3 linked regions of the Notamacropus eugenii genome follow. The protein of the gene in region 3 interacts with the protein of the main gene of each other region in a pairwise test. Links are inferred from orthologs where the notes say so. Each region holds a gene or a part of one and is shown on either strand. Other genes may lie near its edges.

Evidence for each region.
Region 1: the proteins of ARL15 (region 3) and PDE6D interact in binary tests that used the Homo sapiens proteins (3 or more experiments, as listed by UniProt). The link is inferred for Notamacropus eugenii from reciprocal best matches to the Homo sapiens genes ARL15 and PDE6D.
Region 2: the proteins of ARL15 (region 3) and UNC119 interact in binary tests that used the Homo sapiens proteins (3 or more experiments, as listed by UniProt). The link is inferred for Notamacropus eugenii from reciprocal best matches to the Homo sapiens genes ARL15 and UNC119.

Annotation. Positions count from the first base shown.
Region 1 is NC_092873.1:58,277,148-58,287,885, reverse strand, and holds the start of PDE6D (retinal rod rhodopsin-sensitive cGMP 3',5'-cyclic phosphodiesterase subunit delta), read right to left. Parts: upstream 4,812-10,738; 5' UTR 4,566-4,811; coding exon 4,516-4,565; intron 1-4,515. Other genes in the region: COPS7B (COP9 signalosome complex subunit 7b), read left to right, coding at 9,444-9,605. UniProt on the Homo sapiens protein: Promotes the release of prenylated target proteins from cellular membranes. Modulates the activity of prenylated or palmitoylated Ras family members by regulating their subcellular location.
Region 2 is NC_092873.1:35,936,536-35,946,841, forward strand, and holds the start of UNC119 (protein unc-119 homolog A), read right to left. Parts: upstream 4,373-10,306; 5' UTR 4,266-4,372; coding exon 4,091-4,265; intron 1-4,090. Other genes in the region: PIGS (GPI transamidase component PIG-S), read right to left, coding at 5,945-6,220, 9,928-10,138. UniProt on the Homo sapiens protein: Involved in synaptic functions in photoreceptor cells, the signal transduction in immune cells as a Src family kinase activator, endosome recycling, the uptake of bacteria and endocytosis, protein trafficking in sensory neurons and as lipid-binding chaperone with specificity for a diverse subset of myristoylated proteins.
Region 3 is NC_092875.1:408,353,112-408,363,234, reverse strand, and holds the start of ARL15 (ADP-ribosylation factor-like protein 15), read right to left. Parts: upstream 4,327-10,123; 5' UTR 4,195-4,326; coding exon 4,147-4,194; intron 1-4,146.

The sequences.
Region 1 (10,738 bases), on a different chromosome or scaffold from region 3:
AACTGGGCATTCTAAATGTTCAGGCTTGGCCACAGACACCTAGAACTGATGCACATTTTGCTCACCAATCCCTGAGCATTGTTCCAGACCCAACACTGCACAGAGGCAGAGCTGTGCCGGAGATAGGATCAAGCGGACTGCAATTTGGGATGAGGGAAAGTGAGGCCTTTAACTATGGCCTTCAGCACTTTAATCAGTGCCAACTGTCATCCACAATGATGCCACACATGTTGGTAAGTGGCAAATAAGCAGTAAAGACAATAAAGTCTACAGGAATCCCGTGAAGGAAATGATGCCATGTGGATTGGCTGGAAAGAAGCCGTGGGACTCAGGCCTGATACTCTACAAGCAACAAGGAAAAATCATCTTCAAGGCTTCAAATGACTTGATTTTCACCAAGTTACTGCACCCTGCCTCTGTTTTCGTTCCCCCCTTGAAGGGCCATGGCATCTTCTGTCTCATTCCCACCTGAGTACCTCTGCTGCCCACACAGCTCCACCCAGCCTCTTGACCTTGACCTAGCCAACATTACTCTTGTAACCCCTGATACGCCTCACAGACTCACACTTTCTTAGTGCTGAGCCAGGATCTCTGGGCTGCCATCCCTGCAGGCTGAAGGAGGTCTGAGTCTCTGCTTGGAGGCACCCACAGCTTCCTCAGGGAGCTCTCTTTCTCTGCCCTCCCTATCACTATTCCTTACAAAGCATATGCAGTTATCTTCTGATAATCCAAGTTAAACTCAGGAAACCTACCTAAATGCTGAGTCTTTGTATTTCCCAAACATTCTCTATACCTAGACAGCTGTAGTCTAAAACTAAATAGACCAAAGACATTCAAAACTATCACTTAGGAAGGAAAGGAAAGGATTTTTTTAAAAAATTATCTTTTTCTTGACCAAGAAAATCTAGACATTAAGTTTAAAAACATTTACTTAACATTTTGGGAGCATCATCAAACCACAAGCAGCTAGGTGGTAAAGTAGATTGAGTGCCAGTTCTGGAGGCAGGAAGACCCAATTTCCTGAGTTCAAATCTGGCCTCAGCCCCTTGAAAGCTGTGTGACTCTAGGCAAATCACTTAACCCCATTTGCCCCAGTTTCCTCATCTGTCAAATGAGCTGGAGAAGGAAAGGCAAACCACTCCAGTATCTTTGCCAAGATAACCCCAAACAGGGTCACAAGGAGTAGGACATAACTAAAAATGAATGAATAATGAATTAAACAACAAATATTTATTAAATGCCTAATAAAAAAAGGACACCATGAGTGGAAGGTCATCTGGTCAAAGATACCATGCTTAGAAAATCTAGCCAAATAATGCAATTAAACTGATTAATCTACAATTCGATTAATTATTGAAATTACTTGAAAAACATTCTATTAAAATTACTTTTAAAATGTACTATGCAGGGTTCCTGTGGAGGAAACAGTTTATACTTTCAAGCAGTTCAGAATCTCCTGAGGAGTGGATGCAACACACACAGGGATAAATAACTGATATAAATACACAGTAATTTTAGGAGTGAAGAGGGTGTGACCAACTGGGGAAAGTACAAGCAGGGTCACACGGAGGAAGCAGTCCGTCATTGGGGTTTTGTAGGAAGCTCTGGATTTTAAGCTTGCCCTTCAAGCACCGGGAGAGCCTTAATGAAGGCAGTAGGTACAGCGTCCTTACCAAGGAATAGCTAGTAGGCCAGCATGACTGAAACGAGTGAGTGTGTGAAGGAGAGTAATGAGAAATAGGACAGATAAGGTAGTTGAGATTCATATTGTGGGGTGCTTTAATGCCAGGCTAAGGGTTCTGAATTTTGTCCTAGAGGCAAGAGGAAATGAACAAAGATTTCTGGGTAAAAGAATGGCCAGGTTTGGTCTATGGTTTCAGAATATCAATTTGGCAGCTCTGTGGAGGATGAACTTTAGAGGGGACATCAGAAGCAGGATGACCAACCAGGAGGTCAACAGGACAGGTGAAAGCTGGTGAGATCTTCTAAAATATGAGCTGCACAGAGGAAAACTGATGGGACAGATGTGAAAGTAGAATCTACACATCTTGACAACTAATTGAATGTAGAGGGTGAGAGAGATAAAAGAATCAAGAATGACTCCAACTGCCTAAACCCTTTGACCCCAAGACTCCATTACTGGGCTTAACCCCCAAGGAATTCACTGATAGGAAGAAAATCCCCATATACACCAAAATACTGAAAGCAGCATTTTTTTGTGACAGCAAAGGCTTGGAAACAAGGTAGATGCCTATTGATTGAAGAATGACTAAACAAATTGTGGTACATGAATGTAAAGGAATATTCCTGTACTGTAAGAAATGATGTATGTGATGAATACAGAGAAGCCTGCATGAAAGAGAAAGAGCTGCATGAACTGATACAGAATGAGGTAAGCAGAGCTGAGAAAACAATACACACAGTAATTACAACAATATTAAAAGAAAGAACCACACTGACATACACAAAATCAAACATGAATGGAGCAAAGTTACAAAGATCAAGGATAACTGGAATGACGACATACCCATTCCTTTGTGGAGGTGGGAGGGACGTAGGTGTTACACCTGGTAAGTATTTTTAGACCTTCTTTTCGATGTATTAATTGGCTGTACTGATTTTCTCCCCCTTTGTGTCTATTAAAAAATAGCATCTGGTATACGAGATGGCAAAGAGAAAGGGAGAGTGGGGAAAATTCTGATGATATAAAAAACAAAAAGTATCAATGAAAATTTGGTTTTTTTTAAAGAATGACTACAAGACTGTAAACCTGGGTGACTAGAAGGGTACTGGTACACTCCACAGAATTAGGAAAGTTTGAGGATCAGTTTGGGTTTGAGAATCACTTCCAGTTTGGACATTCTAACAAGGACTTGGCAATGCAGGGCTTAAAGTTCAGGAAAGAGATTAGAACTAGATCAGCAAAGAGATGATAATTGAACCCGCAGGAGCTGCTAACATCACAAGAGGGAGAAAAGAGAAAAGGACTCAGGTCAAAGTCCAGAGGGACTTACACACAGGAGCAGGAGAAAGAGGATGATCTTGCAAAGGAAACTTAAGAAGGAAGGATCAAAGAGGTAGGAGGAGATTCGAGAGAGAACAGTCACTGAAGCCAAGGTGTGGTTGTACCACTGTGTAGAAATTCTACATCACAGTTACTCTTAGCTTGAAAGGATGTTAGATTAGACATCTAAGCAAAGCATACATACAAAAAGGTCTTGAGACAATTCTCCTTAAGTTACCAAAACTTAGACCTATGTTATTTTTACCTAAAAGTAACTTCTTAGTTTTTCACCCTTAGCCCTCATATACCAGGCATTACTAGCCCAAAGAATACAATTGGAGGGGATCTGATCAATGGCTCCCATCCTTTCTTTTCTATATTATCTTTCCCTAAATTTGTTCCTGGCAAGTTTGTGTCCCAGCACACACACACACCCCTACTGGATCGATGAATTCCCCTTCTTACCTAGAAGACTGCCACGGGTTCTGAATGCTTACCAGTATCCTTCATGTGTATTTAGCTGCTCCTTCAGTTTTCTCAAGAATCAAACCCCCTTAAAAAGGAAAGGCGGTTCCCACTTCCTGCTTCACTCAAACTAGCCCTAGATGCTTTCTGATCTCCAGCAACAGATCGATCTGAACCAGATCAAAACGAAGCTGCTCTCTAGCTTGGCGAAGGTAAGACTGAAGTTAAACGACCGCACCCAGCAATGCTGGAGGAAAATGGGAAGAAACAATCCACAGTCACGGGAGTGGAACCAAATAGACGCCTGCCTCTGTCCACCCTTCCCAGAAGAGCAAGGCCACGCGATGGAAGAGGCAGCCCAGCTCCGCTCCAGCCCTGACTCCCCGAGGCTCAAAGTTTTCGGGAGAGGGAAGTCAGCAGGCTGAGGGCATGTTCACAGCTGCCCTCCTTCCATTTCCGGTCTCACCCACAAAGCTGCTTTCGCCTTTCTGGTGTTCTAAACTGCGGGCAGCGTGACACGGAGGGGGAAAGAAGCTTTCTGCAAGGCTAAAAGGCTGCAGAGAGAGCCCTCGCGAACCCCTGGAGAGGAAGGTGCAGCCATGGTGGGGACACCGGGCGGCCAGCTAACTGCAGCAGACAGCTGGAGAAAGCCTTTTTTTAATCTCTAGCGATTTGATTGTAGCAAACTTTAAGAGCAAAACAAGAGATAAAGATGCCGCCAAGTCGACGTGGAAAGATTACGCTCTTTTTCTGCTGGGATTATACACAGCATTTACAGATTAACGTCGCCCTGGGCACCGCACAACTGGCCACCACGCACCCCAGGGGTCCCGAGCCCAGCCCAGCCCCGGGTGGGAAGCACGAGCGAAGGTGCGGGGCGCCCCAGCACTAACGCCCCCCAGGGCTGCTCCCGCACCTCCTCCTTCCCCTCCCGGCGCCCCGACTTTCCTGCCAGGCACCGAGGAGCCACCGCCCCCTCAGCTCCAGGCCCAGGGTCCCTCCCCCACACACGCCCCCAGGCCCGACCGTCCCCCGCGGGCGGATACAGCTTGAAGCCCCTCAGGATCTCCCGGGCCCGCTCGTCCTCGGTGGACATGACGAGGCGCCGGCGGCTCCGGGCGGCGCTGCCCCGGAGCTAGTCACCTGCGGCGGGCGGCGGCGACGATGACGGCGGCGGCGGCGACGATAAAGGGAGCCGGAGCCGGGGCCGGGGCCGGGCCAGGGGCCGGGGGGCCGGAGCGGGATTCTCGGCTGAAGAGGCGGCGGCGACTGAGGCGGCAGCGGTCCCCGCCCCCCTCCCCCACTGCCGCCCGCCCTCCGCCCCTATGACCAATGGGAAACCGCTATCCTGCCGGGGGCCGGCCCCTCTTTGTGGATGGGCAGCTCAACCTACCAATAGGAGAAGGAGCGGCTTCGGCGGGGGAAGAAGGAGCGTCCCTCCAGAAGACCGTCTCTCGGTCGTCATCCTCCCCACCCGGCCCGAGACGGGAGCCTCCTTGGGTCAATCTTTTCCGCTTGCGTTGCGGCCCGCGGCGCCCCGGGACCGGGTGAGAGCCAATAAAAACAGTTTCTTCCGCCGGCAACCTTGGGGCTCTGCTCCAAGAGTTGAGCGCGGGGACTACAAGTCCCAGCATGCCACAAGCTTTCAGAGGCCCGGAAACTACGAGTCCCATGATGTCCCGCAGGCTGCTCTCGCTCGGTTGGATCACCGCGTAGGTAGACTCGCGTGGACTCGTTCGTAAACATCCAACCGCGTGGGGCTCCTGTGGGTCGTTCTTCCTCCCTGACCCCATCCTGTCTCTGTCTCTCTCCTCTTCCTCTCTAATTCTTTTTCTGCCTTTCCCCTTTCTCCCTCCATCTTTCTCTCCCTCCATGTCCCCTTCTCTCCTCCCTCCCACTCCTTTTCTCATCTCTTTTCTCCTCTCTTTCTCCTTCCCTCTTTCTCTCCCTCTCACATTCTTTCTCTCCCCCATATTTCCTTCAAGGACAAGTTCAGGCACCATCTTCTACATTAACCCTTGCCTGATTCTGGATTCAGGAAGACCCAAGTTCAAATTCAGCCTCAGACACCTACCAGCTGTGCGATCCTGGGCCAGTCACTTGACCTTTGTCTCAGTTTCCCCATGTGTAAAATGAGGATCATAATAGCACTTACCTCCCTGGGTTATTATGAAGATTAAACTGAAATAACACATGTAGGTAAAGTGCTTTGCAAACCTCAGATTACTGCATTAAGTGCTTGACTATTATCCCAATTGCTGGTGTTGTCCTTTCCAAATCCTCAAATTTATGACATACATAACTCCAAGTGTATACTTAGAACAGCTTAGGCTTAAGGTCTGATAGAATGAAACCTCCAGAATGATAGTGACACTGTCCTTGGATATGTAGTTAGAAAAGTCTGAATGTTTGTGATCATGCCCTGAATTGGAAAGAAAAAGCTGTCTAACAATGGCCTGGGGGACTGGTTTTCCAGCTTAGTGAAAAAAAGTCCCTTTGCTCCCAGGGAGCCTGTGCCCTCATGGGATGGACAAAGAGCCATGAGGAAATGCACAGGAAAGGGTCATCCGCAGGTGTTTATTGGGAGGAAGAAAACTTGATCAGTCAGATGCAGATACAGAATTAAAAACAACAGCCACAAAAAAAACCAAAAACACAACCAGAAATGGGTGCCAGTCATAACAAGCTGAAGTAAGGTAGAAGACAGGAATAAGGACTGTCATCTCCATGTTCCCCACAATATATCAATCAATAAACATTTATTAAGCTCCTACTATGTGCTAGGCTAAGAGTTGGAGGATACAAAAAAAAAGGCAAAAGATACTCCCTGCCTTCAAGGAATTTACAATCCAGTGGAAGAGATAACATGCAAACAAATAGGTGTACACAAGCTACATACAGGATGAATAGTAAATAATTAACAGAGGGAAGGCTCTAGAATTAAGAGGGTTAGGAAAGGCTTCCTGAAGAAGATGGAGTTTTAGTTGAGACTTGAAAGAAGCCAGGGAAGCAAAGCACTCAATCACCAGAGCTGGTGATTCGTGTTCTCCGTAAAGTAGACAGTCCAACATTTTGTAGTCCCTCGCAAAATCAGCTGCAAAAAGCCCAGCACCTGTAGTTATATACCATAACAGCAAATACATATCAACCTATAACAAGTACACAAGCATTTATTAAGTGTTCTCTGTATGCCAGGCACTGTGCTAAATACTGGGGCTACAAAGAAGGGCAAAAGATGGTCTATCCCTTCTCTTCTGGAGCTCACAGCCACTGGACCACAGAAGAAAGGATATCAAAGGAGCATCCCAGGGACTCACCTAAGAATGACATCCACAGCAAATAGCTGTGACCACAGTAACAATAGACGATAGACATAGTCATGCAAAGCCTCACTTGCTTCTGTGACTCCAGAAAATTCATCCTCAAGCTTTGCTCTTCATGCCTCATCCTAGTCTCTGCCTCTCTGATTAAGGGACTGAGCACCTATTTCCTCCCAAAGCCCTCAATTAAAGAGGACAAAGAAGCCCATAGTGTTGTTATTCTGTCTTGTCTGACTCTGTGACCCCATTTGGAGTTTCCTTGGCAAAGATACTGGAGTGCTTTGCCATGTCCTTCACAGATGAGGAAACTGAGGCAAGCAGGGGGAAGTGACCCACTCAGAGCCATCCAGCTAGGAAGTGTCTGAGGCTGGATTTGAACTCAGTTCATCCCTAATTTACACCTTTCCTGGACTGACCCCTTTGAGAGAGGGTCTCACCAGACAACAGTACACTGTGTTTAGTGGGGTGGGGGTCGTTGCCGAGGCTGACCATTGCACAGAAAGGTGTCTTCATCTGGTTAGTCCAGCTGACAGTTTCTCACTGTCCCGAGGGGGAATTTCAATAAAAAATAAAGGTCGCTGGCTGCGTGTGCGTGTGTGTGCGTGTCCTGTCTCAGGACCGCTCCGGACACATAAATACACCTCGGATGGCCCGCAGCGGTCCAAGCTGACTTGGGCTAAAGCGCGGGGCGCTCTCCCGGCAGATCTTCAAGCGGAGCCTGGGGGGAGGGGCGGAGGGGGCACGTGGACAGGGCTGGGGGCGGGGAGGCGAAAAGCACCTATCCCGGGGCCGCCGCGCGGGGAAGGCTTTTGTCCGGCCGGGGCGGGAGCCGAGCATGCGCAAAGCGAGAAGGCCTTGACCCGCGGAGTCTGCGCATTGGGCAAAACCGGGCACGGAGAGACTGCGCGTGCGCGCGCGCCGGAACCCACGTGCTGCAGCCGGAACCTGGGCGCAGAGGCGGTGAGTTTCCGAGGGGGCCTCGGAGAGGGCCGGCCCGGCGGAGGCACTTGAGCGGCGGACCCCGGAGCGATGATGGCCGCCTGACGACCCGCGGGGAGGCGCCGGGAGCGGACGGACGGAGCCTTGGCGGCGGAGGCAGGTACAAGGAGCAGGGGTGGCCCCGGGGGAGCTGGGGGGACCCCGGGCTGGAGGGGGCGGGGAGGGCATTCCTGGGGGGGGGTGGTCCGCCCCGCCCCCCTCACCCGCCGCCTCCGGTGAGCGAGGGGAGGGGCGAGCCCCGCCCCCACCGAGGCCTCCCCTCCCCCAGCCCCCCTCGCTTCTCTTCCTTCCTAAGGCCCCTTGTGCCCCCCCTCTGAGCTGCCTCCACCTCCAGGCCTCAGGCCTCCCCCTCCCGCTCCTTCTCCTGGGCCTGCGCCCCCGAAGCTGCCTTAGGCTTGTAGCCCCCGAGTTTATTGGCCTGGAGTCAGGAGGACCCGAGTTCAGATCCAGCCCCGGACACTCTCGGGGTCCCGGGGGGCAGGAGGGGCTCCTCCGCCTCCCCTTTGCCCCCTGGGGACCACAATGGCAGCACCAGCCCCCCTCTCCCGACCTCGGCCCCCGGCCCCCGGTCCCCTCCACGGCCGCCCTCATCTCTCCTGGTGGGGAGAGGCACTTCCAGATTCCCCAGAGAGTCTGGGACCCCCGCCGGAGCCCCTCACTTAGCGTGCTCCTTCTGAGGCTCAGAGGAGAGCCCCCAGCACCCCGCTTCGGGGATATTCGAGGTTCCTGCCTTAGCTCTCCTGCGGCAGATCACCCCCAGAAACACCCCTTGGCCGGGCTTCCCTCGCCCCTTATCCAACATGTAACGTTTTGAGGAAGAAAGCGCCTTTCTTGTACCCTGGGTACCCCAAAACTGCCTTTTCACTAACAACTCCACCTCCATTTCTTGCCCTCCTCAGTCACCCCACCCCTCTCCGCACCCCTGCCCATCTCCCCAGCAGTCTGAGACTGAGAGAGGCCCCCTCCACGTGTCCTCACCGCTGTGGATTCCCCACGGGGGTGCTCCAGGCCCTGGCCACGTGTGGTGGTGGAGGCAGATCTGAGGAGCCTGTGGGTCCCCAGCAGCCTCTGTTCTGGTTCTGGTTTGATTTGGGTGGGAGCCCACCTGGTGGAGGTGAGGCCGGTGAACTCAAATGAAACCTTGGCCTTTGGTTTAGTAGAAGCAGCAGCTTCTCTTTCCTCCAAAGATGGATGGCTCCCTTATTTCTCTCTGCTGCCCTAGCTGTAGCCTGGCTCAGGAGCTCTCCAAGCACATTTGAGGCTCTAGATTGTTTCTGTAAAAAGTTCAGGGCTCGGAGAACAGTCTTTACTGTGTCTGCTGGCGGGCTTGCTTGTGCTCTGCCTGAGGATGTGCATTTTCATTCTCAAGATGTAGATCTGCCTAAGAACCTGGAGAGCAGTCCTTTCTATCTGTTGACTAGGAATTGAGAGGCTTTTTCTAAATGAATTTTAAATTTCCAGAATGAGCATATTTCCTTCTGTCTGGGCTAGATCCGTATGACAGGGTGATGACTTGTTCCTGATCTTGGGAGAAGTTTGCTTTTATCATAGGCACAATAAAAGCAAAGTCAAAAGCCAGACCAGTATAAATGGGATAGAGTGGGAGAGAATTGACTGATAAGGTTTTCTTTTTGACTAGATTACCAGGTCGTAGAATGGCAGGTGAACAGAAACCCTCCTGTAATCTCCTGGAACAGTTTATTTTATTAGCCAAAGGCACCAATGGCTCAGCCCTCACCGCTCTCATAAGTCAGGTCCTGGAGGCACCTGGAGTGTACGTGTTTGGAGAGCTGCTGGAGCTGTCCAACGTGCAGGAGGTAAGCGCTGTCTGGGCTTCTCACCCAAGGTCTCCAGGGATCTCAGGTTTATGGAACCGTAGTGCTTAGAGCTGGCTAATAGCACTGGGCCAGGCGGAGGAGGAGGAGGAGAGGTAGGGGAGACCTGGCCTTGGATCTTTCTCTTTAATATCTTTGCCGATGATCTGGTTGAAGGAAGTAAGAAGCGCATCATTAAGGCTTCCAGGTGTTCTGGAAGGCAGGAATAAAACTCCCATTGACCTTTATGAGTTAGAATTCCAACAAAACCAAAGTTTTCAGTGGGCATAGTGTCCCATCGATTCACTAGCGATGCAGACGCAGGCTGAAGGAAGCTGACCAGGAGTGGCATGATGTGAAATGACCTCCTGGAGGCTCTGGGTAAACCCCTGCTGACCTGACTGTGCAGAGCAGGGCAGGTGTGGAGAATGGGAGGATGCTGGGATGGACCAGAAGCAGCTGGAGATGGAGCCCAAGAGGCACTTCTCTGGGGAGGTCCTTGTTAGAGCCATGCGCCACGGTATGGTCACGGGAAAATTTAGTCAGAAAGAAATTCTGTGGACAAACTGGAGAGGAAGGAAAGCAGAGTCAGCGAAGTGACCAGTGAGGTGGAATCAGCTCAAAGTGCCGGGCAGCTGTTTTGGTGTTGCTGGCCTTACTGGCCATCTTTGATGTTTTCCCAGTCATTCTACAAAGAAGGCTGGGGCTCTGGAAAGTCTAGTTCGAGGTGATGTTCCCTCTAGCCTGTTCCTCAGGCCAACTGGTGCACTAACACATGCACTCATGCATCTGGGCAGTGAATGCCTCAGCCTGAGGCTCCACATGCCTTTTGCTCACAGCTCATTCCTGTGCCCATGTAGAATTCATTCCCAGGGAAGTTAAAAACGGGGCAGGAAGCTGATGGCTAAGCCTGCTGGCAGGGAGATGTCTTTTAGGATGACTGCTTTCAGCCCTTCCTGCTTAGGGAGGTCCTCAGTCAGTCCCCTTGGAAGCAGAGTTAGGCCCAAGTACCCCAGGTCTGCCCCACGACGACCTCACATATAGAAGTCCTGGTTAGTGTTGTGGGAGCCTGTGGGGGAGTTCCCCAGTCCTCCCCACCCCAGTTCTACTAGCATCCTAGCCCACGACAAATGCTT
Region 2 (10,306 bases), on a different chromosome or scaffold from region 3:
CCAGTTCCTGGTCCAACTCTAAGAGCTGATGAAGGAGACTAGGCCAGAGGGGGTAGATACTTTAACCACCAACACCCCTCAAAAAACCTCAAGCCCTCCTGTCCTCCCTCGGGGCTACCTCGTCCTCTCCTTCCTCTTGATCAGGTGGAGAGAGGCCCAGGGGGACCCTAGAAAGAAAAAGCCCAAGTCAGTGACAAATGTCAGTGACAAGCAGGAAGATAGAGTCACTGGAGAGCTGCAAAGAGTGATAAGGAAGTACAAGCCGAGTGGCCTGAGAGGCCACTTAGGACCACAGCCCTGCTCAGGAAGGGAGGAAAGGGTGGAGAGACATTGTAGCAGGCCCCTCCGATGGGAGGATGGGCCTGAGGTAGAAGCCACAAAAACCAAGCCTAAGTGTCCCTCAGACTTGTCTCCCAACCTCAGAGCCCTTAGAAAAGCAGGTTCTCATGGGAACTGTCATCCCCCCCACTCCCCACCCCCCACCTGCATCTCCTCAAGCCTCTTTCTGCCCCAGCCCCATCTTGGCAGTCCTGAAGTCTCCCCCTCTTTAGAAAGGATGAGGGAAATGCTGTCTCCCCTTCCCAGGCAGGGAACCCTGGAGACCCCCACTGCCAGCCTTGTCTCCTGACAAGTGATTTGCTTTTCCCCCAGTCCTAGGCAAATTGGTCAAGGCTGACCCTTCTCTCTCTAGGAGAAGCCAGGGCACTAACACCTCTCACTGTATGTCCTTGGGCAGCTCACTTCCTATTTCTGGCCCTCCTTCTTCTCCTTAGACAAAAAGCTCAGGTCCAAGGTTCTCTGGGATAATGACTGCTCCCACAGTCTCTCTCTAAGTTGGGTCCCATAAAAATCACAAAATTTTAGCCTTGGAGGGGAGCTCTGACCACTTCTCCCAGACCTTCCCCTAGGTCTGATCCCCTTTTAGAAGGCATACACTATTCCCAAAAGGCCCTCAGGCGCTGTGGACCCAAAAAACCAGTTATGTGCCCTTCTTGCCTACCTTCCTCCAGCCCCTGCTCTCTGGGGGTGGGGGTCAGGGGTGGGGAAGAAGTCCAACTGGTAACTATGTTGTCAAAAGACTGGGGAAAGATCTAGAGACAGAGGCGCTGGGGGCCAGTTCAAAATGGCAGATGACTGACCTAAAGGACAATGGAGTGTTTCGAGGGGAGGAATTCCCACACTTTCCCCTAGCCTAGGTTGCTTAGGTCACAAATGCTTCACTGTCTTCTCCTCCTCCCCTATCAAGAGCTCAAGGCCCAGGACAATCCTGGAACGGCTGGTGTCAGCAGCCAAGTGGGAGAGGGGGGAGGATCTTATGAATCTCTGGGAGATTGGGAGAAGGGGGAGGTGTGGGGGTAACAAGGGTAAAGGACAGGAGCAGAGCCCCACTGGTTAACTGCTCATTCTCCAGATGGGACCCTGGGGATCAGGGTTAGGGGGTCTCAGAACTGAAGGGAAGAAGGAAGTTTGGGAGGGATAAATGAATGGGCTGACTGAAAAGGAGAGGAGGGCTGAGGACAAAAGCAGGGTTCCTTCCACTGGCTGGTTTGGCTTTGGGGTTTTTTGGTTTTGTGTATTTTGGGTTTTTTTTTTTTAGATAAGACTGAGGTGAGTCAGCTAGACTAAGACAAGAATAAGGTCTTCTTGAAAGAGAGAAGGGTTATTTTGCTGACCTGAGTTAGCTCTTCCACTTACAACATGAGTGACTTTGGACCAGTCCCTTAATTTCTCTGGACCACAGTGGCCTCATCTGTAAAAGGAGGGGCTTGGAGAAACCCATTCCTAATGTCTCACAGGTTAGTTTTAAATCCTATGATCCTATGAAATCGACTTTCGCTATCAGCACAGAAAATAAAATGTGAGTCAGGAGGGACTGAGATCAGACCCAGAGAAGGACTTCCTGTTTGGTTTCTGTCTTTGTAGTCCCATGGCTCACTATGGCACCTGGAATGCAGGAGGAATTCAGTACAAGTTGAATGAATGAGTGGCCTAGAGGATGAGCTAGGTCCTGGTGCCCCATCCTCGGCTGAGGAGGCTGGCCAGAGGCTGGAGTCAAACCAGACAAGTCCAGGAGAAAGGCAAGGAATGCAAGACAAGATGGGAGACCTCGAGGCTCCATGAGCCCACTCCTCAACAGTAGCTGTTTCAAGCATCCTCCAAGTCTTCTGCACAGGGAAATTCCTCCTTAGAGCTGACCTGCCTTCTGCCTATCACAACTTAAGCAGAAACCCTTTCCTTAAGCCCTTTCCATTAGATAAGGGCTCCTTGAGGGCAGGGCCTTTCTTTGTATCCCCAGTGCTTAGGGAAGTGCCTGACACATAAAGGTGATTAATAAATGCCTGCAGACAGACTGATGGATCTCTCTCCCTGGTCTAACCACATCCAGCACCATATACACATTTTCCTGTTTCTTTTCAGTCTGGGTCAGAATGCCCAGTGTCCCAGGGGAACAGTCCAGCCTAGGCAGGTCCTTCCTTCTGTGTTAGGCCCCAAACTCCAGGGTAAGTGGCTGATTGAGAAAGAAGTTCAGGGAGATAAAGGAGGAAGGAGTCTACTCCAGCTTAGGGTAAGAACAGGCCAGATTGGTCTCGAAAGCAAAGAGAAGAATCCTTGGGGAAGCCCACCTCTAGTAGGACACTGTGTGGCCCAAGCCACATCACATACTAGACCCTACCCCACTCACCCTCCTTACCTAAGCCAAAGAGGTCTAGACTGGCCAGGGTTCCACAGGGTTCCACCTGGGTTCCACGCCTTGGACCCTTGCAAAGGGGCCCAGGGCCAAGCCTTGCTCCTACCTAGCTTCTCAGGCTGTAGTGAAAGACCTTTCCCCTCCACCCTGGATGGTGGGAAAACAGAGGTGTCCCATCCTGTCTCACCCTTTCCCACAGGCTCTCTGCCTTGTGACTTCATCTGAGCCCTCTTTTTGGCCCTTAGCAGAGACTGCTTAGTGACATACCCTGTACCAACCATTATGTAACGTTTAATGGGTGTGAGCTGTCTCATCAGCCCGGCTGGGAGCTCCTTGAGAGATGAGATTGCTTTACATAGCTAGGCATCCCTGTATACAGTAGGCACTCTCTTTTGATTATGGACATACTCCCTGTCTCATTTCTTTTTCCAGATATCAGGATCCTGGAGGAGGAGAAACTGAGGCCTCAAGATCATCATTTCAGGAGCATTCTGTGATACCTAGCTCCAGGACCCAGAATTCCCTGATGGTAACAGTCAGCCAACTCAACAGATGCCCGGTGGCAGCAACCAGGGGGTTACAGGTAGACCTGCCCCTAGCCTGGAGTCTCCAGAGACAGCTTCAAAGTCAGGTGCAAACACCCCCCAAATGCTTGTCTAGGGACTAGAAGATGACAGGGAATACTTGGGCATACAGTAGCCCCTCTGTTGCCATAAAAAGGCTATCCTGAGGTGCTCTCTTGGACTGGGGGGGTATTGGGCCACTGGCTTAAGACAGAGAGATTAGTGTTCAGGGTCACCTCATTGACCTCAATCCCTAACAAGTAGATCAGAGACTGCTCCCGGGCTGGGAGGAGGGGCGTGTACCTGGAGGGTCCTGCCAGCCCAGGTCTCCCCCGCACGAACTGGTATTTTACCCCAAAGTGCCTCCCCTCCCCCCAATCCTAATGCCCAGACGTGGTGAGGGTCCACTCAGCAAGTACTGGGCCCTCCTTGAAAGTCTAGGTCTGATCTAGAACCTTGCTGGGCAACGCAGCTAATTCACCCCATAGCAAAGAGGGTACAGGAGGAAAGGAAAGACCACTGCCCTCACTGCCTTGCCCCGTTCAGTCTAAGTGGAAACGGGGGCAGGGGCCAAGCCCATAGTGAGCAAAAGGCAGCTCCCAGGAGGGAGGATGGAGAAGAGAAGGTAGGACAGGGTCTGAGGTGGAGAGAATGGGTGGGGCGCAGGGAGCGGAGAAGAGGATGGAGGGGCGCGGCTAGAGCCCACGGATGGGGTGGAGATGATGGGGCTGGGGCCGGGGAGGTGCGCGCAGAGTGCATGGTCCAGGAGCCTCCCTGGGGACGCAGCCCTCCTCCCCAGCCGCCCCCCACGCCCCGGAGCCCCCCACGCCTCCCTCACCGCACGTGATGCGCTGGAGCCCCAACACATCTTCGGGCCCGATCAGCGCCTTCCTCCGCAGCGCCAGGGGCTCCGGCTCCGATCCCGCCTCGTCGTCCTGGCTGCCCGTGGCCCCTGGCCCGGGGTCCGACCCAGCCGCGGCCCCGGCCCCGCTGCCGTCTCTCTTCACCTTCATGGCCCCGCTCCCGGCCCCCGGCTGCCCCTCGCACCGCCGCGGCCGTCCGGAGCCCGCACAGCGGGGAAGGGGAGGCAGCGCGATCTGCCCGGGTCTGTCCGGCCCAGCCTGGCCTCTCTACTTCCCCAGCCCCCCACCCTCCCCCCGCGGCTCCTGGCCCCGCCCCGCCCCAGGTACCTGCTCTCTGCTCCACCCCAAGGCCCGCCTCGCTGCGCGCCCCTGGACCTACATCCCCAGCCTTCCTCCCTCGGCGCCTCTCCCTTCGCATGCCCTGCGCTCGTCCCTTCTCCCCACCCCCAGACTTATCTCCGAGTCCCCCTCCCCCCACCTCGCCGCTTCACCCCGAACGCGCAGGGAACACCCTCTCCCCCAGTGCCAGCCTCAGTGGGAGGGGAAAGGACAGTCCACTTGGGAAAGCAGATGGCTCAAAATAACGTTCAGAGCTGGCACCAGGGCCTGGGCGTGCGTGGGAGAAGGGTGAGGACCATTCTGAGCAGGGTCCCTCCCTAAAGGGGAACAAAGAGATCTCTGAAATCCCATCCCAACCGGCCTCTAAGGCCCCAAGGGGCGCCTCTCATCCTGTGTCCCTACCGGACCACCCCCAGGAAGTCAGGCTTAAGGTCTCGGAACCAAGGCTGCCCGTGCCCCACTCCAGAAAAAAGACTAAGGGGAGACACTGAAGAGATGTAGGGGGAGGCAAAGCTGGATTTTCGAGGGCCCAGTTCAACCAACTGAAGTGGATGGGGGAGGGAACAGGGCACCCAAAGGCCAGATGGCATTTTGCTTCGGCAGTGCCAGTTCTGGGAGCAGGGGAAGGGAAATTACGAAGGCCAGAGCTGTAGAGGCCAATCTCCCTTCTTCAGTCCAGGAGGCTGAGGCTCAGGCCCACCTGCTGTGCCAGACAGCAGAGGGCAAGGGGAAGGCCAGAGAAAAGGACTGGCAATCTGTTGCAAACCTCTCCTAAGGGGATATCTACGGCTTTCCCCCACCCAAGGGGGCAAAAGGAGCCCCAACCTGGGCAAGGCCAAGTGATTCCAGGCCTGCAGCTAGTGATGCCTAAGCCATCCATAAGGAGGCTGAGAAGGGGGAGTGATTTCATAGAACAGGGGTTCAGCCATCACTTCTAAGGGAACACCGGCAAATGTTGGTGCTTTTTTGCCTGGAGCAAGGCAATGATGAGGAGTCTCCCATTCCATACACTTGGGGTGGTTTCCTCCACCCTGAGTCTTTCTCTGTCCAAGTTTGCTGAGACACGTGAATCATTGGCCCAGTAGCAGTGTGCCACCATTCCGTACCCTAAGAGCCTCAGTTTAAACCAAGAAGTGAATAAAACATGGGCAATTCATGGAGGGCCAGAAGACTCCTAAGACTTTTATTTCCTTTTCAGTTTCCTCTCTTTCTTTCCCTTTACTCTCCCAACCCACCAAGTTGGCTGATCCCTTATGAGGGAATTGAATGAAAGAGGTCCTGGGCAGAGCACTTCTTGGAGGCCCTTCCCTTTGCCCACCCACTCTCCCACCCACCCAAAGGCCTGGCCTCTGAACATAAGGACATGCAAGTAAGGACAGAGAAGAGTGAGGTTGTCCAGAATGGGGCCAGGCCACTCCCAAGAGCAGAGATTCATCTGCTCTCCAACTTGCCCCTCCTTTCCTGAGGGAGCACTCTGCCCCCTCACACACTCAGTCCACCTTCTCAATATCCTTCCTGACTTTTTGGTTCTCCACAATAATCTTGATCATGGAGAGAAAAATGGGCACCGCCATGGGCAGGAAGAGGGGGATGTAGATGGCGAACTTCTGGTCATCAGGAAAGTAGAGGAGGTGGAGAAGGGAAGGGTCAAAGAAGGCCTTCTCAGAGGAAGTCACCGCCTCTTGGCTGGCTCGGAGAGCAGGCTTCAGGTTCCCTTCAGACAGCGCCACTGCCGCCTCGTGGAAGGCGTCCACTGCCCGGTACACCTGGGCAGGAAGACACTGATCAGCAGAAGGGCCTAAGCTAGGCCAGGGGAGGGGAGAGACAGCAGTTTAGTGTCTGCATGCCACTGACGTCCTGGGTCACTCTGGGAATTCACTTAAAAGGACATCCAACACCCTCACCTAACCCAGGAAGGGGAAGGGCAAAAATACAGGGTGATCCCATGGGCTACTCTGAATCCCTCCAGGTATCACCAGGATTCCCTGGGGGGCTACCAATGCCCTTCACAACACCATGCAGAGGCTGCATAATCATCACAGGACTCAGGAGGCTGGAGGTGCCACCTGAATGGGTCCCTTCCCCATCCTACAGATGAATAACTTCCACCTTGGGATTCTCAATCTGTTGAGTCAGATGCCCTCTGCTAAGTCAAGTCTTTCCCCGACTCTCATCCCTACCAACCTTAGCCCATAAGTTCCCTCCATCCTGCCACTCAGGAAACCCCTGGCCCCATCCAGTGTCACACACACAGACACAGACAGACACACAGAGACACAAACAGACACACACACACACCCAGAAAGATCCCACTTATTCCATGTTTCTCATGACCACTTCCAGACCCTCCCTCCACATCATTCCCCTTTCAGCTTCATTCAATCCTTCTAGATCACTTGGACCAAATTCTTGTTGCTATTAACACTCCTGTCTCCAGGCTATATACTCTGTCCTTTCCCAAGGGATTCAATCCTCGTTCAGTCATCATCTTCACCCCAAGACCTGCACCCCATACTTGGGGACTTTAATATACATGCTGATGTTCCCTCAAGCATCGAGGGTTCTCCAGTGCAGGGAGAGATTAAATGACACACCAGAGAGAAGAGAGCCCAGGACAAAGACTTGAGATGCCCATAATTAGTGCATGGGGGTTGGCTGAAGATCTGACAAAGGAATCCAAGGAGGGTTTAGGAACCAACCTTAACCCCCTACATTCACCGTCATTTCAATTCTGCTGCTCAGAGGGGTGCTCATACTTTAAATTGCACCATCACCCATAATGGTGCCAACTCCAATTCCAGAAGATAATGCCCCATCCTTCCATCTCCACCTGCTCCAATCCTCCTCCGTCTCTTCATCTGTCCTCCAAATCCATCCCCTGTGCCTGGGCCTCCTTTCTCTCCCCTTAAAGTCTTCCCCTAGAGATGCCAGCTTGGCTGGAAACATCCTCAACCAGTCAATGGCCAGGCCCACGTCCATCTGCTTTCCATGCCCTGACATTAGTGTTGCTGAACATTGGCAGACAAAGCACCCAAGTGAATGTTCATCTCACCTGGGCCTTCCAGCCCAGTGCCACTAGTCTGATTCTTCCAGCTTGATTCGATCACAAAGCAGTTCCAAACCTTCCCTCTCCTCCCTCCTGAACTCCCTCCTCTTCCCCATGACAGCTAGGTGGTGCCATGGTGCACAGAGCACTGAACTTCAGACACCTATTAACTGTGACCATGGGGAAATCACTTCACCCGACTGCCTATTTTGACATTTAAAATGGGGATGGAAAAGCACCAACCTCCCACAGTTATCATGAGGATAAAATAAATTAATATATATGCTCACAGAGGGCTATATGAGCTCCACCCCTCCTACTACACACCTCAAAACTCCTGCACATTCATGTAGTCTCTTCTGACTCAATCTCCGAGAAAGCAGTGGTCCTTTCCTTTGCCAAGGCTCCATCTATACCTCTGAGCCTCCTCTTCCCTCCTGTCTCAGTCTCTGACTTTCTATCTGGTCCACTCCCATTCATAAAAAAATCTCCACTAGACCCGTCATCCCCTTGAACTATTACCTTCTCTCTCTCCTTTCCCTTTCAATGTACTAAGATGCTAGAAAGAGTGGTCTCCTTTCACCCCCTTCCTCCCAACCCCTCTACTCAACCCAAGCTGTTCTCCCCAAGGTTACTGACAAGCCTGAACCACTAAGTTCCATGGTACTTCTTCTGCCCCTACCTCCTAGGCTTCTGCACCCTTTGCCCACCCTTCCTTTCCTTCTGAATACTCCTCCCCTCCCTGGGACATGGTCCTCTCCTGAGAATTCTCTGCCAGCTTTTAAGCCAGCTCCCACACACTAATCATGGGCATCTCTTAAGGCTTTGTCCTGGACCCTCTTTTCTTGTGTCATTCAAGGGTTGCTGGCAATCTCCTCAGCTCACATGGCTTCAATTATCAACCCTACATAATGACTTCCAAATTATAAACCCAGTACTAATAAGCTCCTCCCCTCATCTCTGGCCCTGAACTGATGTTCTCCAGGATGTTCCCCCACACTCTGTCCAAGGTGCTGCCGTCCTTTCATAAACTCCATCCCCCTGATATGGTCCTGCAGGTTCTGTTCCCTTCACCTGTCTCCCATCCATCTGCTTTCCTTGCCCCTCTCAGGGGCCACCCTGCTCCTGCAAGATCTCATCTATCATCCCTCTCCTAGACACTGTAACCGCTTCCTCAGTGGCATCCTCCCCTGTCCACCCTAAGCATTGCGAGCTCCCAAAATACTATTCCTCCATTTTGGAGTATGCACAAGAAAAACTGGCAATGAACCGTTTCAACCTTGGACTCTAGAACTGTCACTCCTGGGCACAGGCTCCAAGGAGGTCAGAGACAAGAGAATGAGGGTGAGGGCCCGAGGGCTGTTATCAGGGCCACGTCAGCCAAGAGGCCAAGGAAGACTTCGCAGCAATAAAAACCTGGAAACAATGTGGATGGACTGCCAGTATGGCAATGGGATGGAATGTTAGGAAGAGGAGAAATAATGCTAGCAGATGCCATTTCTACAGTGTTTCAGAGTTGACAAAGAACTTAACACATTCTCTCCTTTGATCCTCACAATACTATGACCAGGTGCTATTATTACTTCCATTTTACAGATGAGCAAATGAAGGCTGAGTGAGGCTTAGTCACCTGCCTGGGGTCCGAGATGCCTGGAGCCCATGTCTCGTCCATGCTCCACTGTGCCCACTGACTAGGAGCATGAAGAATTCAGAGAAGTGGGGAGATCTGCACCAACAGCTGAAGACTGAAGTCAGCAGGACATGGGGCACAAGAGCCCTGCCCACATTCACCAATGCTGACATGCAGAGGGGTGGGGATGGAGGGCTCATCTGGACAGGGTGATTGTGGGGGAAGGCAACACAGACAACTGACTATCACATCAAGATGAGGAGTGCCAAGTCTGGAGTCAGAAGACCTGGGTTCAAGTTCAAGTTCAAGTTCCTCCACCATTTACTACCAACCCAGTCTCGGTGGGTCCCATCCCCTGCCTAGGCCTCAGTTTCCTCCTCTGTCAAATGTGGGAGCTGGACTCGACGATCTTTGAGGTCAGTTCCAGCTCTAGATCTAGGATCCTACCCTATACAACAACCTGCTATGACTCCCTATGGCTACTGAGATACACCCACTCCCTGGCCTGACACCTGAGGTCTTCCACAATCTGTCTCTAAGCTCCCTTCGCAGCCTTATTCCCACAAGGTCCCACAAAGTGCTCAACACTACACTTACTTCCAGTACCTACACAAACCACACACCAGACCCGTGTTCCTTCCTCATCTAGGCCTCTAAGAATTCTCATCATATTCTTATTCAGGCCAGGCAGTGGGAGTCCAGATATCTTGGGAGAACAGGGGCTAGCCTTTCCTGGCCTTATATCCCTAATACACAGCACAGTGCCTGCACGGCAGGAGCCCATACACAACACACACCTCAGAGGCCACATCATCCTTGATCACAATGTTGCCAATCTTGTCTAGCAACTCAGCAAGGGAGGTCAGAGTGGTGGTGACCGTAGCCAGGTTCTCCACGGCCCGGGCCCACAGCAGCCTGTCCAATTCCCAGGACCTCAGGCCTTCCCTTGGAGGGCTTCCCAGAAGGAAGTTGTCTGGCATCTGAGGGTGGGGGATCCCAAAGAGTAACCTGAAGGACAGATGAGAGAAATAGGTCGGGGTGGGGAGGGCAGGTGAGAGAGCTGGGCCCTGGTCCATGCTGGGTCTGGCCTTTGATGAGGGTATTAAGGGAAGATTCAGTGGCTGCCAAGATTGTGGAGGTGCCCAAATACCCTCAAGACCCTCACTGTGTCCCCCA
Region 3 (10,123 bases):
GCTGGGGGGGAAGGGAGAGGAGGAAGTCATTATTGCATTCCATTGGTTCTATTAGGTTCAAAAGACTAGACCAAAATTTCACAGAAGCTCCAGATGAGGGAATAAGGGAAGGGAGGGGAGGGAGAAATCAGCTGTCCAAGAACTAAAATAAAAGGAGCCCATCAAGGTTTCCTGGTTAAAAGCACAATACTAGTGGCATGCAAAGATTTCTTTTTTCTTTTTAAGTTGCCAGTCAAGCTAAAAAAAAAAAAAAAAAAAAAGTCCTATCTTGATCTCGACCTTAAGAGAAAAGGATACATTCTGCATTCCCTAAAACAAAACACCTAAACTAAACAGATTTTATCGTGTTATTTATTATCTGAGCTTTGGTTTCAAGTGGTGTCCATGACAGAAAATACCACAGTCTCTTCAGTCACATGTTTCATATTTTGGAACTAATTTAGGTTTATAAATCGACATCAGAGCATACACTTCTTGCTCTATAAAAGTTCACTTATTGAAACAAAAAATTTTTAAACTGTTAAGAAAGCTACAATGCTATTACTGTCCTTTTCAACCTTACTTAAAAACACTCATTTTCTTATTACTATGAAAAAAATGGCAAACTCCTACTAGCTCCCAAAACTATTTTTAATGGCTCATTTCCATTAAGAATTGCAACTCCACAATCTCATATTTCTCCATTTTTCTTCATTCTCCAATCATAAAAGGGGGAAGATGATGATTACCCCCAAAGAATGAGGGGTAATATGCAGAGCTCCCTCTATGAGACACCAACAAAAAGTTGGCTATATTATTAAAATAAAATAGGCAAAGTTACACATGTCCTTTCAATTTTGTGTTAGTAAACAGCAACCCTGCAAAGGGTAGAAGCAATATGGTGGAGATCCCAGCATAGTCTGTAAGTTTGGGACACTACAATTTCAAAAAAAGAACATACATTTTCATCTGTGGAAATTCAAGAGAACTGATTTATTTTAGAAATATTCTGTGACAGTCAAAAAAATTGATTTGTAATAATTAACACAGGAAAGACATGACTAAACAAGTTAATCCCCTGAGGGAGGAAAAGCAAAGGAGGCTGCTGAAGAAGTAACAGTCTATCCAATATATCATTTCATCAGAATAGAGGTAGGAAAAGGCATGGGTTTTGGTAGAAAGAACACACGCTATGGAGTGAGTTCTTAGAAGGTTAGCTTAAAAGTGATGATTACTGTCCAAAAATTGTATTTAACCTTCAGGATCAATTGGAGCTTCTCCAAGTCCCAGCTAAAATCTTACCTTTTACAAGAAACCTTTCTGGATTGCCCCTAAACGCTAGTGAGGTTCCTCCTGTTTTTATGCTCCAATTCATCACATATATAATTTGTTTGTACCCAGTTGCCTGCAAGTTTTCTCCCTCAAAAGACTGTGATCTCCTTGAGGGCAAATATTTTGTTGTTGTTGTTGCTTGGTTTTTTCCCTTTTTTTCTTCTGCCCTTCTTTGTATCCCCGAAGTTCACCACAGCACCTGGCACACGGAAGAGCTTGTTGACATACCCCTTATTATGCTACAGTATGACACTTTCCTCAGAGAATGCTTTCTCACCCTCACTTGATACCCAAGCTTAGACTTCTTAGAATAAGCATAGGGGAGGCTCCTGTGATTTCATCTGTGTAGCAAGTTAGGAAATTCACTCAACCCATGAAGGCAGACACACTTTCTCCTCAAGGTACAGTCTTACTTGACTAGAGCCCTGAGAAGTGTAAAATGACTTGCCTAGGACCACACAGAAGCAGAGCATGAACCCATACCTTAAGGCTCTCTGTATTCACATGCCATGCTGCCACTCGAAGCCCTTAATTTTTTAAAAATGATAATTGCAGAGAAGCAAATAGAGGCTAATTTGATTTTTTTGAAGACCAAAATTAGAGAAGGAATAAAAGATGAGGTTCATCAGCCTAGATATAAAGGTGTGTCATCCCAAGATAGAGTGAACTAATCAAGAAAATGAACCTGCTCTTGTGGGGATCACTGAGCCCATAAAGCAAAGCAACTGCCAGGGCAGGTAGGTGGTACTGTAGATAGAGCACCCAGCTCTGGAATCAGGAGGACCCAAGTTCAAATTCTGATTCAGACATACTAGTTGTGTGGCCCTGGACAAGTCACTTAACCCCAATTGCCTCAAAAAGAACGAAAAGTAACTTCCGCCCAATCTATGTCTGCATGAATCCTCTTAACTAAGCAGTTTCATCCCACCAAATTTAATGTTTAAAAACCAAACCTAATGGCTACTTTGGCACAATGCAAGACAGACTTAATGATTCAAACATTAAATTTGTGTGTAACTAAAACATCCTACCTGAGATATAAATACTGACAAAATGATGACATAATTAGAGACTCTTCATTTTAAAGCTTTGCAGGAACCACCAACAAAACTTTAGCTACTGTCATACTTTTCTATAAGTCAATTTCCAGCTACAATCTTTAGCTTTTATTTGGATGGACTCCAAAAAGGTATCTTGTGAGGAAAAATACAATTTATATTCGAAGATGTCTCCAGAAAATAATCTGGACAGCCCACCCAACAAAAATAGTCATTTTGCATTTCATAAATGACCTTCACGAAAAAATAACTAATCTCCAAATCTTCCTTAGAGCAAAAGAACTGTATCCTATTTTTCAAAGAGCCCCCTAGAACTCTTATTAGTAAGATTTGAACTGATTTCTAGACCTCTAGGCAGGGCCCAATTCACATAGCCATGTTTTAACTGAAAACACTCTGTAGGCCCACAAACTCTTCAAACCCTGGAATTTCTGACATAACCCCAAAATGAACTCAAGTAATCACAACTGCACAGCCAACATTCAAATGTCAAGCAAATATTGAGTAATAATTTAAACATTCAAGTATCAAGCAATTGTTAGGTTATAAATTAAACTTGTTGCTCATAGCACCTAAACTTGAAAACAACACGTGGCCCGTATATTTCAAAACAACCTGACAATTCCTAGAAGGCACTTGTCAAAATTCTGCCTGGCCAATCCTGCTGTCTAAAGCCTAGTGGATATGGCAAACATACAACCAGATGATGTCTAGGTCACTATTTTCATCCACTAATGCAACCTGGCACCGATTCTGGGTGACACGGTAAATTTTACTAAACTATTTAGCGTTTTGCAATGAAACAGATTGTCCTTATAATATTTGAGAAAAGGAGTTTGGGAGCAATACTTGCTGCTTGCGGACACACACACACACACACGGACACACACAGACACACACACACACACACACACACTTGCCCATTCCGTACTCCCCTGGCCTAATATTCCCACAATCTCTGCCCCAAACAGTATTACAGCAGCATTCCTGAAACTGGCTGAAACTTCCCCGCAGCCCGGCAAGCAGGCAGACCGAGCCCAGGTTCAAGACTCGCCGGGTGCCCAAGGTTACTACGGAGCTAGCTCAGTGGAGCGTGCTTTATGTTCATGTGCTTTTTAAAAAACCCAACAGCGACCCGGGGTCACAGCTTTAGAGGTCTAATAACAGCCAAATGACCAGGGCTGCCCGTGCGCTGCGCTGAACCCATTCGGGTTATGGGTCTTTAATAGTTCTTTGCAGCCTGCTTAAAGAAGGCGAAGCTGGAGCGACCCGGGAGGGGCAGAGGCAGCCAGAACCTCGCTCCCGGGGCTGCCAGGCTGCCAGGCTGCACGGCTCGGGGAGAAAGAGGGGCGGGGCGGGGGGAGGGCGAGGCAGGGCCCCCTTCTCGGGCAGCCGCTGCCCATCCTCTCCGCTGCCTCGCACCGCGATCTTTACCCGGAGCTGTAAATCTGCTCGCCCCACGACTGCACCTTTACCTGTCAGCTCCCCCACCCCCCTCTCCTCCTCCTCCCCCCCCCCCCCGTCCCCGCCCCCAGAGTGGGGCAGCACCGCAGCCCAGCTGCCAGCTCAGGACCGAGCGCGGGGCTGCCAGGGGGGAGAGGGAGCGGAGAAGGGGGGCAGCGGGGAAAGAGGGAGCGAGAGAGGACAAGAGGGGGAGGCAGTTCCCCTCCGCTGCCCGCCCGCCCCAAAAGAGGGGAGGGGCGGGAGAGGCGAGGCGTGGGGTGTGAAGGCGAGGGGCACCCCGCCGCTCCCCCAGCACCGACGCCGCGGACCTTACCAGATAATCCATGTACAGTAACGCCTCAGTTATCCGAAGATCAGACATCCGGCAACCTAAAGCATCCGGAACGGCTCCGAACCCGGAAAAAAAAGAAAGCGTCTCTGGCAGCGAAGCGACCGCCCCCGGGAAGGCAGCAACAGCGAAAAGAGCCGAGGGCAGCCGAGCGGACGAAGATTACACCAGCCGCGCCACGATTGGTCCCTCCGCCGACCAGAAGGAAAGAAGAGCTCTCATTGGCTCTGGGTGCCTATAAAAGGCGCGGCCGCCCGGCGTGAAAGCGGAGAAGCGCGGGAGAGCGGGTCCGGAGCAGATCCTCTGGGAGCTGGGACGGGAGGCTGGGGGCGTGGGGAGATGAGGAGGAGAGCAGGAGTGGGCGGGCCGCCGAGGGGTTCGTGGGCAAGTGCCACGGCTGGGGGCGGGCCCGACGTTCTCATTAAAGAAACAATCCTCCCCGAGAGCTTTGGAGATGAGCTGAAGTCCCAGCGTACGTTCGATAAAACTCCATTCTATAAACACCCACTAGAAGCGTTGGAGGGGAAAAAAAGAGGCAGAAGACAGTCCCTGCCTTCAAGGAGTCTACATCTTCAATTTCTAGGGCTTAGTTAAAAGAAGGTAAACAACAGATCTACGTTAAACCCTGAAAGAGTTTACAATCTGATCGAGGGCACCACATGCAAATGTATGCAAAGCAGGCTGTATACAGGATACATAGGAAATAATTCAAAAAGGAAAATCAATATTAAGTGTCTACTAGGTGGCAGCAACTGAGATGAATGCTGGGGATGAAAAAGGCAAAAAAAATAGTCCCTACCCTCACGGAGCTAATGGGGAAAGAGACAATGCAAGAACTAGTAATATAAGAAGCAAGCTATATATAAGATACATAGGAAATAATTAGCAGAGGAAAGGCAATGGAATTCCGAGCCCTTGAGAATGCTTCCGGTAAGAAGGTGGGAATTTAGTTGATTGGATTTCTATTCAAACTCAAATCTTCTGAGTTCAAAGCTAAACTGTTAGTGCTGTGAATTATCTCAGTAGTATGCATCAAGGACATCCTCAGGTAGCTTTTATATGGTGCTATAAGGTTTGCAGAGCCTTTTACAAATATTTCATTTAATCTTCACAACAACCTGGGTTATAGTTTGCTGTTATTATTATCTTTCTGTTACAAATGAGGAAATTGGCAAACATAATTGACTTGTCAGGCAGAATCGTCCTCAATACTGAATTTGTGCCACCAGCTTGGGGAACCTTGCCCTCTGAAATAGATTTAAACTTGCTCTGAGGAAACACAAACTACATTTCAAGTGGATGTTTGTGTACCACTTGAAAAAGACAATGCTATCAGTATGTTGATGATCAAATGGTCTACCTATGTTCTATATATATTAAAGGCAGATGTTTAGGGTTAGTTTTTTAACATAGATTTAACTAAAATTGTTGCACACCTGAACACCATATGTGTATTTCATATGCAGCACCTGGACTGTTTTAGATGAGTGGCTCTTAATGAAGAGGAAAGAGGAAGCCCCTGTCTGTGATCAAACACTGAACAAAATGTAAAATATTTTATGAGTCAATGGGCTTACTGAGCCATTTCCTTTTTTTCTGATAAGTGGCTTTAGAATTTCAAAGTGAGATCTGGCATTATTAGAAAAGACTAAAATAAAACTTAGCTAGAGTCTTTTTAACAAAATCACTTTACAAATCATAAAGGACTATGTATGCTTCCAGTCTTTCTGCTCTATATACAGCTGCCAAAATAATCTTCCTAAAGTACTGATCTGACCATGTTACTCTCCTGCTCAACAAGCTTCAGTGTTCCCTAATCCTTCTAGGATAAAAAAAAAAACTCTTCTGTTTGCCATTTAAAGCTCTTTACAAAACAAAGCCAAACTTATTTAGTTCACATTTCTCCACTAATGTACTCATCATGTTTACTGTTTGCCTTATGTGACACTGCAACCATCTTTCTGCCAGAGTACTTCACTCCATCCTGTACCTCTGACTGGGCACTTGCTCCCAACCTGTAGGACTCTGTCTTCCTGATTGCTGATGGTTCACCATATCTAGCAGGGCCCTCATTACATCTACCATACTGTACTACAGCCTGGTAATAATAGTTACTCCCAACCCTTCCTCTAGGAACTGTACGTACCCTTTTTCTAGAAAGGAGGAATCAGTCAGTTGTCCTAGTACTTCACTAATCCCATCCTAGAACCTTCCCATACCCTAACGGGGACCCATTCGTGCAGTCATTTTAGTTGTGTCCAACTCTTCCTGACCCAGTTTGTGGTTTTCTTTGCAAAGGACCTGGACTGATTTGCCATTTCCTTCTCCAACTCATTTTACAGATGAGGAAACTGAGGCAAACAGATTAAGTGATTTGCCCAGAGTCACACAGCTAGTAAACGTCTGAGGCCAGATTTGAACTGACCCTTCCTGAGGTCATTACTCCCCTCTATGTTTTGTCTTTCGCTATTAGAATACAATCTCCTTAAGTGCAAGGATTGTCTTGCTTTTCATGTTTATATCCCTGGTGCTTAGCACAATGTCTGTGTTCTAGTAAGCACTACATAAATTCTTTTTGTATTCAACCATGACTTTCATTTCCCACCCTAAATGCTTTTACTCTGGCTGTGTACCTCATGGCTAGAAAGCATCATCTATTCATCAGCCTCTTTGAATCCCTAAGCCTTAGCCCTGGTGCTACTCCGGACATAAATCTTAATTCTCTGCCCTCTAAAAATTACTTTGAAATTACGTGTGTGCCTGTGCCTGCACATTTGTATATCTCCCCAGTAGAATGAAATTTTGCTAGTTCATGTAAACTGCAACAACAAATTGATACAGTGCCTAGCAGAAAGGAATAGTAACTGGACCTGTGGTTTCATTTATAGGAATCTCTTAAAGAAGAAAACTCTCTTTCCCAAGGAAGGCAAGCACCTTTTGTGCAACTTACCTTGTATGCAGTTGCCTGAACCACTCTGAAAGTCCAAGTGGCATGTCTGGGGGACCCTGAGCTATGATGTGTCAGAGGGTAAGACTTGAACCCAAATCTTCCTGGTTCCCAGGTCAGCTCCGTATCCACTATAACGTGATGGTTTTTTTTAACCTTGTAAATAGTAAGTAAAATAAACATTTGTTGATTAAATACGAATGGGGGGAAAGTAGCAAATCATAAAACTGCAGAAAAATAATTTCTTAGAAAAATTTGTAAGCACAATCAATCCCTTCCCTTGACCATCGATGGTCAATTCTGGCCATGCTTGCTCCACCCCCTCAGGTGCATCTTATAATATAAAATCTTTGGTAATTCCAGTCAACATTGAGTATCTTATTTGTAGCATGTTCACAGCTGAAGAGGGTTGAGGGAAAGTGTTTCTATGATGAAACAAAGAATGCAGCTAGGTGACCCTAATGCACCGAGCTCTGAACTGGAAGTCAAGAACTGAATTTGAAGCTACCTTGGATACTTAGTAACAGCATGATCCTGGGAAAGTCCCTTAATACTAATAGTAGCTTATAGCTAACATTTCTTTATGTTAGGCACTATGCTAAGTGCTTTACAATTGTCATCTCATTTGATCCTCTTAACAGCCCTAGGAGATAGATACTCTTATTATCCCTATTTTACAAATGAGGAAACAGAGAGAGGTTGAATGACTTGACCAAGATCTCACAGGTAGTAGTGCCTGAGAACAGATTTGAACTGTCTCCATTTTATCATCTATAAAATGGGGATTAATAGAAACATATACCTCCAGGGTTGTTGAGGGTAAGTTGAGATTATATTTGAAAAGTGTCTTGTAAATCTTAAAAGCCCTGTGCAAATGTTAGCTATTATTATTGCTAGCTATTATTATAAAAGCATGGGGTGAGCAAGATCAAGAAGGCTAGCTAGAAAGTATATAATATTTAGGGAATGGTAAGTCCAGCTAACCTAGAACCTACTATATAGAAACATAGATTTAGCATTAAAAGGGACCTCAGAAGTTATCAAGTTCAAATGTCTAATCCAATTTTTCAGATGAAGAAAGTGAGGCAGAGAGAAGATAAGTGATTGGCCATGGGTCTGATGTGGTTTGGGGTTGCTGAGAACCCCGATATGTCAGGGTACAGGCAGTGTCCACCAGTGTCCACTCAAAACTTCTTCCAGTTTAGGAGCAGTTGTTGTAAAGCAATAGTAATGGGCATGGTTCCTAATGAACCTGCAACTTAATGGGGGTGGGACTGATGCTTATATACAAAAAGAACAGTGAAAAGATCTGGATCAGATTATGGAGTAGTAAATAGTCTGAATTGGGCCAGATACTACACTTAAGGAATATCAAGTAGACTAATTAGATGATCTAGAGGGGATTAAGGGGTGATTGGTATATGCAACTAGTAGGGATGGGGGGCAGCAAGATCGGCAATGAAAGGAATGTCAAGGTGGTCTGGGGTGGGCCAGTTGTCTTGGACTGAGGCCAAGGCTGAGGCTCTAGTGATCTGGGCTGCTGAAATATATGGGAAAATTCAGGGACTGGGTTGCTTTTAACAACATGGTCTTTTCCTTTTAGGGGTTCAGGCCCTATCACCCCATCAGGTCAAACAAATAGCAAGAAAGTTAGACTAGATTTAAATCATGAGAAATTCTACTGTCCTAAACTCTAGGACCTAGAACTTTCAAAAGGTAACTTATTAGTGGTTGGGAAATTCCAGTGTCCAAAATTTACTTGTTGATTTAAAAGCATGAAATCTTCTTGCACCTTGGGTGAAAAAACAACTTCACTTATAAGTTTAACTGGGGATAGCAAATCTGTTACTATTATTATTTTATTATTATTATACTCAGTCCAAAGAAGTTGAGTTAGTATCTGGTAATCCTTTTACCATATATTTGTCAACCACTCTTACCTCAGGTTCACTGTCAATATGGGGCAATAATGTCAAACTCAAATAGAAGTGGAGCCTATTGACTTAGAAAACCACAAATTAACATTACCTATGTTGTATTGCATTTTTATTTTATTAAACACTTCCCAATTGAATTATAATCTGGAAAAAAAAAATAGTGGCCTGTGAGTGACATCTTTGTACTAGACTATTTATTTATGATACAAAATATCATTCCAGAAAAAAAAATGTGCAGAAAAAGAAACCTATGCTGTCAATTTCAGGAATGAGGTTTGAGGTGAGGGGTGGGGCAATATTTTTTTAAGAGGAGTACATTTTTGGTGCCTTTCTTAGGTCACACTATTCTAGCCCCTGTACACAAATCAGACTACACGCTTAGAGAAGAAAAAGAACCTTTTTGTGACCTAATTTAGCCACTTATTTGCAGTGGGAGAAAATGGTCTTTGTTCTTTCTTCCTTCCTTCGTCTCCCTGATCAGTTTCCTCTATGGAACCAGAGGTGATGCCTCTAGAGGCAGCTGCCCATCCCATTTGTCTCAATGGAATTTTCAAAGAATCACTGAGATTCCTTTTGTAAGGAGCCTAGGATTCCCCAGGGTCTGCTCCATTCCAGCTTCCATCTGGGAGATAGAAAGAAAATAAAGACAATTTACAGTTGCGTTATTTGTACATATCTTTTTCAAAAATTTATCTTGCCTTCCATCCGTGTAAGATTTTTATTTTAGGTGGATGTTGTTTGAATTATTACATAGCACCTAGCACATGAAGGACATATAGGACACAAGGAACTTCAGAAGACAATTTTTATAATACCCTCGTTTTAGAAATTAAAAAACATGAGAGAACATGAACATGAGGGTAAACTTGGTTAATAGTGAAGACATCAATATTACACTAAGGTGCGTAAACCACATTTGATGATTCACTATTTTACCCCAAGATGTGATTATGATAGAAAATACACACACATATACACACACACACACGCATAAAACTGGGCAGCTAGGTGCTCCAGATAGGATAGAGTGTGGGGCCTGAAGTCAGGGAAGACTCCATTTGCTGAGTTCAAATCCTAC